Tribolium castaneum: one gene and its partner. The protein of the gene in region 1 binds, or shares a complex with, the protein of each later gene. Links are inferred from orthologs where the notes say so. Each region holds a gene or a part of one and is shown in the gene's direction. Other genes may lie near its edges.

Region 1 (4,398 bases):
TGTAATAGTTATCATAAATAAATAAAAGGAAAGAAATATGAGACTTGAATGAAAATAGTAACGCTACGAACAAGCAAAAATACATAATTTTCAATAAAAACAAAAAGGATTTTAAGCAAATTTTGGTCCAGGATTCTGGAATTCACAATCATTCAAGTTATCAAAAAATTCGAGATATCGCAGTTTCGACATAAACATTCTTATGCAAAATAAGGGAAATATGGAAAGCCAGGATTTGTCTGGATAAGAGGGTTCTACTGGAGATTTCATTTAATTAAACACGAAGTTAAATATAAGGTTAATAAAAAGCACTTTCATAAAAATGTAGGTATATTTTCTTTACTTAAAATTCATTGTAGATATAAAAAATTCCAGTTAAAAATTGATACTCCCTAAAAGATTACCATAATTCAGAAGCCGCTACTTTATTTACAAAACAATCTTTAAAACCGCGAATTACAATTGTGGACTGCAACCACGTTTCTCCATTTTCTGAACTTTTGTCTTTTTCATTAAAATTACGTTCACATTTTCCTGGACCTTCCACATCGCAAGAATCTTTAAATACTTCCAATTTATCACAGCATGAAAACACTTGAGAATTTGAATTAAAATTAATAACAGTTTGCTTTATCTTATTAGAAACTAATAAAGGTTTAGATGGTATAAATATATTGTCATTACACACGTTACTTAAATTACTTTGAGACGCTTCAACTTTCAAAAATATGTATGTGTTACAACAAGGTAATGAATTTTCTACTAGACTCATCCAGACCTCCTCTAAAAATATATTCCTGGCAAAAATTGAAAACTTTAGCGTTGAAAATACAGTACAACAAAGCGGTTTTACCTTAATATCCTGGACTGCCTTCTGCTATTTTCCATCACATGATTCCCCTCAACATGGCCTAAAGCGAGCGACGATGCCTTCACTGTAAAGACTTCCTTAGGACATACAGGCGTCACGCCAATTACAAAAATAACTTCTTTCAAACTATTCCCCAAGTCAGTAAAACACTTGACTATGTTTAAGGCGATATTTTCAACAGCATCATACGCTGTTGAAACAGTCTGGTAATGTTTATTTAGCGTAAAATTCGTCTTCTTCTCTTCCTCTCCGTCTTCAATACTTTTGCGTTTCTTCTTCACGATGCTCTTGAGCCAAGCATAGGGATAAGGGATTTGGGTCCTTTGATACAACAGGTTTTTCATAACTTCATTTACTAAAGAGGCACAAGAGGCCGGCGTCAGAATATAATCACCAACTGATATATTTATGGTTGAGGAATTCGGTAAAGCACACATAATTATTGTTAAAATAATAAATTAAACGAAACTTTAAAAACACAATAAAATAACCAAACTTTTGGAACGTCAAAGCAATGCCAACTTTGAAAGCATAAAATCGAAAAACGCTCGATAAAATTCAAAACGTTTGGCTAAAAATAATTACATAAGTTTTAAAATTCGTCTTCAAGCTTTTTTTTGCATTATAATATAACAAATAATTTACCCATAGCAATAACTGTAATTTTTCTTTCCCTCTTACAATTTTTCTGCAATACGGGTTTTCCAACGCCAACCAGAATTTGGGCGGGAAATAATTTTAGGTTATTTATTCTAAAAAATTCACAATTTACAAATACTCAAAGCAGAAATCAAAGAAATGGACGTTGAACAAGTCAAAAAGAAGTTGCACACGGCGTTAAAATTCGGCGGATTTAATATTCGGAGGTGTGTTTTTATTATAAATTGGACTACTTATTTATTGTAATTTCAGGGAGTTTTGTGGCAAAATTGTAGCCAAATTTCTCAGAGAAGGTATCGATTTAGAAAACAAACACCATTTTGATAATTGTGTTAAAAATCTGTGCTCCAGTTTAGAAAACCAGTGCCTTCTGGGGCACAGTATCGAAAAGGAGCACATAGACAGGGCTTTGGAGGTTTTTAAATAAAATTTGTTAAAACAGTGGCTAGACGAATGATTTTAGGTTTGCCTGAAGTCTGGTTACGACAGGAATGAAACAATTTTCAGTGTTATAAACGCTTTCGATTTTCCAAAAGTTTCATACAATCTTGATAGAAAACAGTATTATTTAACCGAAAATAAGCCCCGACTTTTGTCTTCTGCGGATTCCAAGGCACAGCTTTTTGCCGACAGATATGCCACGATTTTACACAGGACCAAAAGAAATTTTATACAGAAAGCAACAGAAAACACGAATATTAAATTAGAATTGCAAACTGTTGATTATTTGTTAACACTTTCGAATGTCTCACTGAACCATACTCTGGTATTAGGCTCGTTATTGCAAGTGTCTGAAGGCAAATATTACTTAGAGGACCCCACGGGAATCGTCCAACTGGACTTAAGCCACGCTGTGTAAGCCCCCACTTATTTTTTCGCCTCATTTACTCTTTATTTTTAGTTACTATGGGGGCTTATTTGCCGAAAACTGTTTTGTGTTAGTTAACGGACATTACGAAGACAAGATAATCAAAGTCTCCACGTTAATTCTACCCCCAGGGGAGGAATACGCCAATTCGCGCCCCTTTTTCAACACGATAAATTATTTCGGGGGCCCATCTCCAACACCCCTCAAAGACTCCGTAAAATTACGCGATCACTTACAACGAAATCGCGGCGCTTCGTTCATGTTTTTCTCAAATGTTTGGCTTGACCACCCTAGTGTAATAACGATCAAAAAAAAATCCACAAAACTTAATTCAAATTTTAGATTTTTGAAAAACTTGAATTGCTGTTTGAGGGTTTCAACCCCAGCCCGCCTGCGGCGTTCGTTTTCATGGGGAATTTCATGTCAGAGTCTTGCAGCAGCAATAAGATGGACACTTTGAGGAAACTTTTCAAACAACTAGCTGAATTAATTAACAAATACGAGAATTTGGCCACTGTTACGAATTTTATTTTCGTGCCGGGTTTGGAGGATCCATGCACTTCATACGTCGTGCCAAGGTGAAAAATATTAATTTGCTTTTTTTATTATTTAATGTGTTTTAGACTGCCGATTCCGTCATGCATAACTGAAGATATGACGAAAATGGTGAAAAAGGCAGTTTTTACGTCTAATCCGTGCCGTTTGCAATATTGCAATAAGGAAATTACGATTTTTAGGGCCGATGTTCTCCCAAAATTGCTACAAGCGTCATTGCATAAACCGAAAAAGAGCGAATTGTCCGAAAATGTAAAAATAACTGTGATTTGAAATTAAGTTGGCAAATCTGTGTTACCAACTCATTTTCAATATCTGAGGTCAAACTGATCGGAATTTTAATTGAGGCATTTGTTACAGCTGACCAGGACTATAATAAGTCAAGGGCATTTGTCGCCCTTGCCCTTAAACGCTTTGACAGTTCATTGGGATTTTGATTACACTCTAAGTTTAAATCCTCTCCCTGATTTAGTAGTGATAGGAGACAAGGCCGAACCTTACGAAGGGAAATACAAAGGGTGCCAACTTATAAACCCTGTAAGTTGAATTTTGAAATTAAGTTGGCTACATTAACTAGTGTTTAAAAAAATGTTTGTAAAGTAATTTTGCGTCATTTTAAAATGTTAATTGAATGTAATAATTATATGTACGTGTGAGGAGAGACATACGCTCATGCAATTTTCAGAGCACACTTGACCACGTTTAAAAAAATGTTTCAGGGTTCGTTTTGTGAGAGCGGGTTCCAGTTCAAGGCGTACAATCCTGCAACAGACAAAATCGAGGAATGTCTACTGTGAAAGCCTTAAAATAGCATATAAATTTATTAGTTAGGTCTCAAACATAATCTAGATTGTACACTTGAAAATTACTTGTACACTATTTACATTCACATTAAAATAGTCGCCTCGGCGATAAATGAATTAAATAACCTATTGTAATACCGCCTAAATCAATACGTATTAAAGAATTTCAATTTGACTTGAATCAGAAAATATCACACTGTCAAACATAAATAATCAAAAAAAGTTTAGCTTTCAGAAAAATACACATTATATACAACAGTACACAACTGTTACCAGTTTTCAACAAACGATAAATATCACATAGTACTAGGTTTGTTTGTTACAAAACGGACACAGTTGATCGTTAGTGGCACGATACAATTTTCGAGCGCTATGAATGCCCTAAAACAAACGGAATCAGAACCAAAAATTCCAAAAAATTGTGAAACTAACGTTCTTTTTCGTATCTCCGGCATGCTTCTGCTCGTTCTTTAGCGTCGAAATACCACAACGTTATTGCATATCTTGTGTCGTAGGCGGGTTGGACTTCATGTGGATTTCTCCGGTCAGACCAGAAAAATAAAAGACGGTCGAAAATTGGCTCTATATCAGCTACCTACAACCAAAAATCACATTTAAAAAAACTTAATTTACTAATTATT
Region 2 (2,507 bases), on another chromosome or scaffold:
TTTAGAAGTTTAATTGAATTTGGGTCTAGCACTTTTACATATCCGTCAAGCTTACTTATTAAAAACTAAACGACATGATAAACTAGGAGTTTATTCTTCGAAAAACAAAACAACACAAAGTTATAAAAATTCTGCTCTCATATTTAATAGAACAGTCAAAATTTAGTTTGTTAAACAAAGTTTTTTTTGTTTGCGCTTAATAAAATAAAAACCAAAATTATAAATTTTTGATTTTTCTCAATTCAAAAACTAAAAACCACACATCTAATTTTCTTTCAGATAATTGTTTAGCATAAAAATGCGCAACTTTGCCCATATTTAACCAACCTCGTATCTCTTATAATAACTGAGATCCCCATGGTAAAGCTGGAAAAACGGACACCCTGTATACTGTTGCCCACTTAGGTGGCAGGAAGTTGAAATTCCAAATTTTGCATCAGTTATATCAGTTATATCTTGAAAAATATCGCAGTTTGTGCAAAAATCAAATTTCAAAAAAAGCGGTTCAAAATCGTTCAGTAGAGGGCGCAGAGTAAAGTGGATAAAAATGTGAGATTTGATTTTGGTAGCCACTGTTGCCAACCTAATTTCTAGTTACAGAGCAATTTGATTAAAATTTAATAAATCCCCGTTTTTAGATTTAAAATGATCAAGCCTTGTTTAAGTACATTTTTGCGGATATTTTAGTAGAAAATGTATTAAAAATAAAGAGTTTACCATTCGTCCATAGATTAAAATCGGCTTCAAACACTTATCACAGCAATGAATCATGGGATTGAGCACTTTTTCGCCAATCAAATTCACTTTATGTGACCAATCTAGCCGCAACATTGGTTCTGGTGGCCCTCTGTTAATTGTTGTAAAAGTCGGTGCTTCCAGTTGGGAGATGTCAGCTTCCAAATCAACTATAACATTCAATTGTCATTCAAGGCTGACTTTAATTCAATTAAATTTACTTTTAGGTGCCACATTTTCGTTAGATTCACTTTCAGTTTGTTGTGCCTCTTCGGACGATTCTTGCAGTTGGGAATTATCCAGTTCTTCATCGCTTTCTATCACTTTTATGGCCTTTTTACCACGTCCGCGACCTCGGCCTCTTCCCCGACCTCTGCCTCGACCACCGCGACCCCGGCCGCGGCCCCTCTTGGGGGTACCATCGTCCATCTATGGGCAGAGTTATTGCAACAAACCCAACAAAACACTAAAATAGATGCGGTCAAAGTTATTACCTTTTATTTACTTGATCGTTGACGTAAGAGCGTCCATAATTTTGAGGTTAAGACTTTGTCAAATGAAGGGATACCAATCCACTTGGTACATCATTCAAAATTGAATACAAACCGCAATAAATTAACTTAATCAATAAAATTATCAATCCCTATCAATATACCGCATAAAAATAACACAACTGTGAGACAATCTAAGCCAAAATTGTATTTTATTACTAATTTTTTTAAATAATTTGGGGGATTTCGTTTTGTAACCACCTTACCTGACTTTGAATAGCGCGCGATTGAGGTTATGTTGTGAAACTTGAGTGGTATTTATTTAAAATTTTAACAAATAAAATGGAAGATATCAACGAAGTGGATATAGAAGAGATTGAGACTGAGAGGCAGCCCGTTACCGAAACGCCAGAATTCGTAGAATTAACCACAACATCCCCCGAAAAACCCAAATTAGTGAAACTACCCCTAGCTAGAATTAAACACATTATGAAAATGGACCCAGACTGTAATTTAGTGAGTCAAGATGCCCTATTTCTCGTGACCAAATCAACGGTAACAAAAAAAATTTGAGTGTTAGCTTAGGTACTCAATTAAAATTTCAGGAGATGTTTCTGGAGCACCTTGCTAAAGAGTCTGGCAAGTTTATGGGGATGGGGAAAAGGAAAACTGTACAGAAGCGAGACGTCGATGCCGCAATTGATAATATACCTAGTCTTTGTTTCCTTGATGGTGCCTTGGAATAAAATACTTTTAAGATTATTTTCAGTTAATTTTGGTAAATCTTATCCTATTTTCGTGTTTGCGCCTTCGCAGTTATGTTTAAAAAAAAAACAAAGAATAAATAGCAGATCTCTTTTCGAATTTGGAAGTTTTTTGTCTTTTCGGCAAATTATTCCTTTCATTTTCACTGAAAAATGTTTCTAAATTCACAATAGAGAACCTAACTAAATTAAGGATTTTCCAATTAGCTTCGGAAAAATCATTTGAATTTACATATTCGACGTAGGTTCATATGTTTTCTCTTTTTTGCCAATGTATTTCTAGATTAGTGAGTTTCTAATTGAAGAACACTCGCAAAATTCTCGAAAAATAATAGGAGTAATAGAATTAACATATTTGCGTCAGATTTACTCTAACAAGTTTCCACTTTATTTAGAACAAATCTCACAAAACGGTGAAATATGTTTTCAAATAAAGTCATATACAGGGTAAACCAGGGGTGTCCAATCGGTCCATAACATTTTAGCTAATTGATATATTGCCATGTCGTTTTTATTA

The links.
Region 2: PolE2 (region 1) and PolE4 share a complex: the UniProt entries of both Homo sapiens proteins name them as parts of the DNA polymerase epsilon complex. The link is inferred for Tribolium castaneum from reciprocal best matches to the Homo sapiens genes POLE2 and POLE4.

The regions. Positions count from the first base shown.
Region 1 is NC_087396.1:20,065,019-20,069,416, reverse strand, and holds PolE2 (DNA polymerase epsilon subunit 2), read left to right. Parts: upstream 1-1,535; 5' UTR 1,536-1,669; coding exon 1,670-1,737; intron 1,738-1,783; coding exon 1,784-1,946; intron 1,947-1,994; coding exon 1,995-2,386; intron 2,387-2,432; coding exon 2,433-2,694; intron 2,695-2,741; coding exon 2,742-2,977; intron 2,978-3,022; coding exon 3,023-3,206; intron 3,207-3,314; coding exon 3,315-3,491; intron 3,492-3,673; coding exon 3,674-3,751; 3' UTR 3,752-3,938; downstream 3,939-4,398. UniProt on the Homo sapiens protein: Accessory component of the DNA polymerase epsilon complex. Participates in DNA repair and in chromosomal DNA replication.
Region 2 is NC_087395.1:5,461,693-5,464,199, forward strand, and holds PolE4 (DNA polymerase epsilon subunit 4), read left to right. Parts: upstream 1-1,460; 5' UTR 1,461-1,568; coding exon 1,569-1,781; intron 1,782-1,831; coding exon 1,832-1,972; 3' UTR 1,973-1,988; downstream 1,989-2,507. Other genes in the region: E3 ubiquitin-protein ligase Hakai, read right to left, coding at 718-905, 957-1,164. UniProt on the Homo sapiens protein: Accessory component of the DNA polymerase epsilon complex. Participates in DNA repair and in chromosomal DNA replication.